Ovis aries: one gene and its partner. The protein of the gene in region 2 binds, or shares a complex with, the protein of the main gene of each other region. Links are inferred from orthologs where the notes say so. Each region holds a gene or a part of one and is shown on either strand. Other genes may lie near its edges. The genes, in order: GDF2 and ACVR2B.

What was found.
Region 1: the proteins of ACVR2B (region 2) and GDF2 are in contact, whole or in part, in a crystal structure (PDB 4FAO), measured with the Homo sapiens proteins. The link is inferred for Ovis aries from reciprocal best matches to the Homo sapiens genes ACVR2B and GDF2. Residues at the interface, in NP_001097.2 of Homo sapiens: Asn35, Glu39, Cys49, Glu50, Glu52, Lys55, Leu57, Tyr60, Ser62, Arg64, Val73, Lys74, Cys77, Trp78, Leu79, Asp81, Phe82, Asn83, Glu94, Gln98, Val99, Phe101; in NP_057288.1 of Homo sapiens: Arg333, Ile346, Ala347, Pro348, Lys349, Glu350, Tyr351, Glu352, Lys397, Ser399, Pro400, Ile401, Ser402, Val403, Leu404, Lys406, Gly410, Val411, Pro412, Thr413, Leu414, Tyr416, His417.

Annotation. Positions count from the first base shown.
Region 1 is NC_056078.1:41,261,831-41,265,739, forward strand, and holds the start of GDF2 (growth/differentiation factor 2), read right to left. Parts: upstream 2,805-3,909; 5' UTR 2,653-2,804; coding exon 2,307-2,652; intron 1-2,306. UniProt on the Homo sapiens protein: Potent circulating inhibitor of angiogenesis. Signals through the type I activin receptor ACVRL1 but not other Alks. Signaling through SMAD1 in endothelial cells requires TGF-beta coreceptor endoglin/ENG.
Region 2 is NC_056072.1:11,874,162-11,877,970, reverse strand, and holds part of ACVR2B (activin receptor type-2B), read right to left. Parts: coding exon 3,721-3,809; intron 2,416-3,720; coding exon 2,221-2,415; 3' UTR 1-2,220. UniProt on the Homo sapiens protein: Transmembrane serine/threonine kinase activin type-2 receptor forming an activin receptor complex with activin type-1 serine/threonine kinase receptors (ACVR1, ACVR1B or ACVR1c).

The DNA of each region.
Region 1 (3,909 bases), on a different chromosome or scaffold from region 2:
AGGAGGGGATGGTGAAATTTTATTACTACAGTGTTAAAAATATCACCTAAATCACGTAGGAAATCATTCAGAATGGTAACTTATGAGCAGAATGAAAGTGGTGTTTATTTTTTTTCAATGTGTGAGGAAAAAATAGATTAACCTCGATGGCTTGGCCATGTTAGACATATATGGAGCTTGCCTTCTAGCCACACAACTGTCTCTCTTCCCACTTCCCTGGCTGACTCCCAGCCATTAGCACATCCTGTTATACCATGGCCTGGTCACAGGAGGGAAGACAAGTTGTGTTTCCTGAGCATCTCCTATGTGCCAACATGAGTAGGGAATGTGCTGTCATGAAACCTGGCAGCATCTAACAGTCTAAAATTCCAATCCTTACTCTCTCTCTTCTAGGCTTATGAGCTGGGAGAAGTCCTGAGTCTCTCTGGGCCTTAGTTTCCTCATCTGTAGAATGGGGCTCCATCCTACCACCTCCCCAGGGCTGGTGTGAAGCTTTGACAAGAAGGCTCATGAAGCCTCCCCAACGCTGTCCCTGGTTCGCAGCAGGTGCTCAATCAGGTACTTCTATGTCTGCCCCAGAAACTGCGCCTGCTCCACCGCCCCCAGCACATGGCCTTTCACGCAGCTCTCTGTGCGCCCTCCCCCAGCCTGGACGAGCTGTTCTCGTTCCCGTACCGTGTGTTAAACCCGCCGTGTCATACGCGAGTAGTGAGCGGGATCCACGAGCAGTGCATTCACTGCTGGCTGTGCTCTGTGGCACGCCTTGAAAATTGCCAAGGGGCCGCTTCAGCTAACTAGAGAGCAAGTGCTCTCTCTGCCCGAGCCACTCAGGCTGTTCGTGATAATGATCACTGCCTCCACAGCAGCACTGGCCACAGGCAGAGCTGGGATCAGATCAGAACACCTGCTTCTGGGACACAGACAATGCTGGGGGGAGGGGAGCAGGGCGGGGTCACCCCACTGCTGTTGGGAGATGGCTCCCAACACTGGACTCCCAGACTACAGGATTTGGTGATTAGGGCCAGCCAAAGAAGCTCAGCCTTTCCCTAAAGCAGGGGTTACAGACATGTCCCATGGGCGTAGTGTGATGCTGCCAGTATCTATATTACCTGCAGACTGCATTAAAACAAATTAAACCCATCTTTTAGAAACAGGACAGGTCCACATTAAATCTAGACTTTCATTTTCTTTTGGGGCCATCAGGGGCCTTCCTGGTGGCTCAGATGATAAAGAATTCGCCTGCAGTGCAGGAGTCCTGGGTTTGATCCTTGGGTTGGGAAGATCCTCAGGAGGAGGGCATGGGAACCCACTCTAGTATTCTTGCCTGGAGAAAGCCCATGGACAGAGGAGTCTGGCAGGCTATAGTCCATGGGGTCACAAAGAGTCAGACATGAGTGAGCAGCTAAGCACAGCACAGGGGCCATTGGGAAATACAGCTTTGCCAGGCACGCAGCATGACCACAGCATCTTTGAGCTAGGGCATATGGCTAGGAGTCTGCAGGCCTCAAGCTCAGGAGGGAAGAAGTCCTGTGTGCCTGGTTGGTTAGAAGCTGCAACTGCGGAAAAAAGCCTGAGCTGTGCAAACAGATGGGACTGGGTCAGAATCCAGCTGCTTAACTAATATGTGAACCGGGAAAGTTCCCTCAGGGTCTGCAAGCCTTGGCTCACTGCTCACAAGATCATGTCACCTACGTGGCGTGAATTAGAGGACATAAGCCCTAAGTCGACATTCGTTATCTTCTAGTCCTACTAAATCAGGGAAATTATTTTATACTTAGAAAATAATTACCTTGTCTTCCAGTGTTTCTCAGAGGAATTTATCTGAATTTTAAACACCTTTTGATGAGTGAGAAATGCAGTCTTTCAGTGTTTAAAAAGACGCCTGTTAGTCAGAGGCTAAGTAAGTTGTCTGTGTCTAAGTAGGAAGGAGACAGGATGGGAAGGGAGGGGAAGGGAAGGGATGGAAGAAAGCGAGCAGGCATTCCTTCAGCACCTACTGTGTTAATGTGGTGCTGGGCCCAGAGAGGGAGAATTTTCTAGAGCAGAGATGTCTAGTAGAACATTATGCAATGATGGAATTGTTCTATAGTCTCCATGTCCTATAGGGTAGCTAGGCATGATTGCTGAGCACTTGCCCCCAAGCTACTGAAACTAACTAAATTATTAACTTTATTGCATTTAAATTAACCTAAATTGAAACGAAGAGTCCCGTGTCTGAAGTGGCCGCCATATCGGGCAGCGCGGCCTTGAACCCACCACTGAGTCCCCCCGCCCCCGCCCGGGGCGCCCCACGGAGCCGACTCTACCTTCCACGCTGAAGCTGCGCACAATGTTTGACGCAGGGGTGGACGTCTTGTCGGTGGTGTATCTGTTGTATAGATCGATCATGTACTGTGGTGGCTCGGCTCGGGTTCTGTCCTGAGAAGGGACCCCACTCAGGTTGAGGTTGCGCAGAAAATCCACCTTCATGTTCTCCAGGAACATCCTCAGGTCGAAGGTGGCCCCCTCCTGCTCACCGCCGGGCCCCCGTAGCAGGCGGTGGGCATCTCCCCCCGTGGACGGCCGCCCCCGGTTCTCCAGTGGCTTCCCTAGGGCGGAGCAGGCCAGCAGGGAGAGCACAGGCAGAGCCATCCGGAGCGCCCCACGGCCCATCTTGGGAGGCTCTCGCCCTGGTCTGGAGACTGCGGCGGCCGCGGTGTGTTAGCGGGTGCCGGGAGGAGCCCGGAAGGAGCCGGCCTGCATTGTCCTGCCCACAGCTCTGTACGGCGCACCCGGGCCAGTTCACAGGCTCTCACCCTTCTGCTGTCCCCGAAGTGCCCTCCACTTGTTCTTATCTGGCCCTTGATGCTGTTCAGGCCTCTTATCTAAGGGGGCTCTCTGTTAATGAAGGCTCTATAAACATCTGAGAAACACACAGGGCTAATGGGAAGGACACGGACTGCTGCAGAGAATCCGAGTTTCTCCTTGGGGTTATCGCCCCCTAATTAGGATGGATCCTCTCTCATTTCCTTGCCAGCTCTCAGAAGAATCTTGAGGCAGGGTGACATATGCTCCATCTCCTGGGCCACCGAAGCAAAGAATCCAGGAAAGAAATAAGACCCAAAAGTCCTCCAAATATGGAAACAGCAGCACAAAACTCCCAGAGGCCCCTGGGCTGGCCGCTGGGGTGGGGATGGCGGGTTGGTGAGAAGCCTGGTTCCTGTGGAACTGGATGTGCACCTGTGGCTCAAGTACTCGGTGCCTCGATTTCCCATTTGTCAAGTGCAGTCCTGAGTCTTAGAGGTCGTGGGTAAAGGTGGCACATACAGTTTAGTGAGGCGGTAGAGACTTTGGAGTCAGACCGGATGTGGGTTCAAATCCCAGCTCTCTTAGCTGTTCTTGCATGCATGACCTGGAGCAAGCTGTTTCACCTTTCTGGCCCTCCACTTCAGAAGAGGGCAGTGAGGACTTCAGCTAATAAGTGCTGACCAGCATGGCAGTCACCGCAAGTCCCAGTCGGCTGGGTGGTTGCTTTCTGGCTACAGCTTCTCTACCCTGGGTCTGACTGAATGGGAGCTTGGGAGGAATCCCCAGAGGCCCTGCACCTGCCTGGCCTGCTCTCTAGAAACATCACTTACACAGCAAGGCCTCCTGGCCCTGGAACCCAAGTACAGCTCTGTCAGTGGTCTGGGGGTGATGGTGAGGTCTTGATTCATCCGGGTGGTTGCCTGGGCCACACTTGTCAGTCAGGAGAACCATGTAATCTGGGAGGCAATGGAGCAGGGAAGCACTGAGTCCAGGGCATGTCCAGGAGACGTTTCCCCTGCCTGAAGAAGCTGAGAAACTGTGGCCCAGTTGAGCCCTGCTAGGCTTCAGGGTCTGTGTTATTTTAAGAATGGCAGCCCCACACTTAGATCTGTCCATTTCCAT
Region 2 (3,809 bases):
TAACTTACTAAAAAAAAAACAAAAACCTGTCCCTGGAGCCACCCTGGCCAGCTCACATTTTGACCCGTGAAGCAAAGCTCACCTCCACTGCACAGTGTCCAAACACGCAGAGGAGGACCCAGCCTGGGGGGCCCAGAGCCCCCACCGCCCGGCCGGGCCATCACAGGCGGCCCGGGCAGCGCGGCTCCAGAGACCTGCTGGGCACTTCCCCTCGCGCCCCCGCTGACTTGCTGAAGAAATTAAGTCTCAAGTAAAATTACCTCATGGGGGTCTAAAGGCCACAGATTTCCCAGGTTAAAGTGGGGTCGCCTGTCATTCTGAACAATGACCTCCCAAGTCGAGGGAAACAGCGGAACCTCCAAAAAACTCAGGAGGAGGCGCCCACCCCTCACCCTAGTCAACCTCTCCCCGTCGCCCACCAACTCGCCTACCCTCAAGGTGAAGAGATCCAGTTTTCAAATAAAAGGGTCTAAAGCAATGGGAAGGAAATGCCTTCACAAATAAGAGTGACGAATGCCCAGACTCAGCCCCGACAGCCAACCCACAGTGGATGACAATTATTTACAAGGGGACGTTATCAACGAAAAACGGGAGCACTCCCTAAGAAGACTCACAACTTTTTTTCTTTTTCTCTATTTCTTTTAAACTTTCTTGTCATAAAAGCCAACTTACATTAAAATATACTTACTACGAGACAACACAACTAATAAAATATATAATAAACCTTACACAAGTAGAAAATTCTGAGGTATTTCTGGTTTGAGGTGGTCTGTGGTCGTGAAGTTTTAATTCTTTTACTTTTCAAAATTTAAACCTCGGAAGCCACATAGCAAAGCATTTGCGTGGATGTGTGTGTTTTTAAGAAAAAAAAAAAAAAATTTGCATGTTTCATAAATTAAAAAAAAAAAGTCAAAGGTTGAAACAGCAGCATTAGGAACATTCACTGACGAGAGCAAGGTTATGGCAAAACAGAGAAACGGTTTTTTTCGAATATGCACCTCTTGTGAGGGGGTCTGGAGAAAGCTGTGTCCACGAGCTACATAAAGGGACAGTAACGTCACCACACAGGGCAGACAGAGCCAGCGCTGCAGGACTCTGGGGCTCTCCAGAGAGACAGGCCTTGGCCAGGCCGGACCCAGGAAATCCTCTCGCCCCGGCTACGCAGGGCGCCCCCACGTGGCCATTTCCCTGAACTGCTCCAGGAGGAAACGCTCAACTTTTCCTCCCTTACAGATATTTACAGTATAACGTCTCATCAAGACTGTACTCACTAAACCGTGATGATTTCTACCCTTGCCGAACCTTAAAATCAGGGTAGAAAAAAATGTTGTGTCTTATGCCCAAGCCCAAGTGAGTGAAAAGAAAAACTGGACAGGGCACACAGATGGGCCAGAGCCACACCTGATTTCAGACTTTCTCCAAACCCCGCTCTTGCTGTTCATGCTCGGCCTCCACGCGATCCTTCCCCTCGATTCCGGGTTACCTGAGAAGTAGTCTCATAGCAAAGGATGTTGCTCCGAGTGTGCCCGAGTCCAGTGTAGCTCTGCTCCAGAACCCACCCCCAGCTCCGTCCTCCCCTCCAGTCCAAACCATCCTCAGCCTCAGCCCAGTTTTTCCTCGGTCAGGACAACACCCGTTCATCCGTGAAAAGACACGCCTGCTGTTTCTTAAACTCACTGTCTAAAAAGGGATAAAAACACAGTAAAAGGTGAGGCGGGAGGGGGACGAGGGCAGAGGGAAACTCCTCGTGTGAGGAAGGTGTGTTCTTATGTAACAGTCTTCAAAGGTTCCTCTAGGTAGAGTTTGCAGCATTAAGTTTCCTAAGACAGGATGGGTTTCTTTGTGTCACAGGTTCTGAGACAACAAACAAAGAGAAAGCGGGGGAAAATGGACCCCGAGGGGCAGGAGGTGGCCGAGGCTCTTCAGCATGGCGCTGGTTCCTCATTCACAGCTCAGCACCGCAACGCCTGCTGACGTGTCCGCTGTTTGCGATACAGTAGAGCAATGTGCTGGTAAAAACTGATCCAATCCAAAAAAATAATATTAATAATAATAATTATAATAATTATAATAATAATAAAAAGTCAAGGTAAAATAGCAGCTGCATTTTATGTGTTTGTTGGTATTATGGGATTTCCAAAACAAAACACAACTTTTTTTTGTTTTCTTTCCTTTCCTCTTCAGATCTACTGAGTCTGGAGAGCCACTCGTGTCCTGGGCTTAGATGCTCGACTCCTTCGGGGGCAGGTCCACGTTGGTGACGGAGGTCACCAGGGAGACGAGACAGTCCGAGGTAGTGCCGTTGACCGACCTCCGAATCAGGGACACTCGCTCCTCCACGCAGCCCGCGGACAGGCGAGCCTCCGCGTCGTGGTCCCAGCACTCCTCGATTGTCACGCAGAGCTGGGCCAGGCCCTGCACGCCAGCGGGAGAGAGGAAACGCATGCCTCTGCTGGTGGCCCTCAGTGAGGACAAGCAAACCAGCCATGTTCCCGAGGACTGAGCCCACAGGCCCGTCCACAGGGCTCTGGGGGACGCTCCCCTGCCAGCAGTCAGGGTCCTGAGCCCACCGGCCTCCTCCACAGCCCCCAGGGAAGGGCCACTGAACCTCAATACTCAACAAGGGAATCCAGGGCCCACAGGGCCGCCTGCCTTGGACTGGTGACATTGCCACAAGATCTTGGGCAAAGTCCAAATCACACAGGGGCCCAATGTGCAGTTACAGTGGAGACAGAGGGGGACTTCATCCCACCTTTTTCCCCACGGCCCCCAGAACCTCCCCAGAGTCCAGGAAATAGGGCCTGACACCTTGTGCTAGAACCAACTGCGTGAAGCTGGGAAAGGCCGCAAGATGAGCAAAGTGCCCACCCGTACCCAGAACGGTCCAGCCTGCTTGGCACTAGGCCACACTCAGCTCCCTCTGGGCCTGTTCCACGTCAGGGAACTGGACTGGCGACCGCAGCGTCTCTGCCCTGAGAGACTGAACGTCTAAGGCAGAAGCAAGGCCCAGCTTCCCTCTCCCGGTGCCTATATTTTCTCCATCTGCAGTCTTGGGTTTCAGGGAGCAGGCAGCATGGCAGCAGAACCTGACCTCCACAGCTCAACCCCTGACAATGTGGGAAGAGCGCCAGCCCCCAGTGATATCCTTCGGAATTAACCCTAGGGTGCCAGGGGGAAGGGAGTCAATAGAGCTCAAGGCAAATATCCTTCCAAGAAATGTTAACGGTTTCCACAGCTGGGGTCTTTTGTACATATCCGCAGACTGGAGGGGCCCAGATGCCACGTAGCTCAGCCCAGGCCCAAAAAGTTGATGAGGGCAGGGAAAAGTGATTACTTCATCCGAGCTAAGCCGTATTAAACACTTAAGTAATAGGTGTCCTGCCCAGTGAGGTACAGCAACTCCTTAAATCTAATACTACCCTGAGGAGACAAGAGCTCAGAGAAATAAAGCAATCTGCCAGATGTCACCCAGCTACCGACGGACAGATCCAGGATTTCAGGTCCCATCACTCTCTGGGGTCAAAACCAGAGCCGCTGCCTTGGAGTGCACTAACCTGCACAGACGCTCCCCGGGTGGAAGGGAGGCAACGCACCCGGGGGAGGTGGGGCTGGGCCTGCGGCCTGAGCCCTCCCCTCTGGCCCTGCCGTGGGTGAAGCTCCCCTGCTGGCCGTCAGCACCCCACGCCCACAGCCGCCGCCGCAGCCCCCGCCGACCCTCACCGGGTGTTTCAGCCAGTGATCCTTGATGGCCGGCCGCATCTTCTTATGCACCACAACCTCCTGCAGCTCCTCCAGTGACGGGTGCTGGC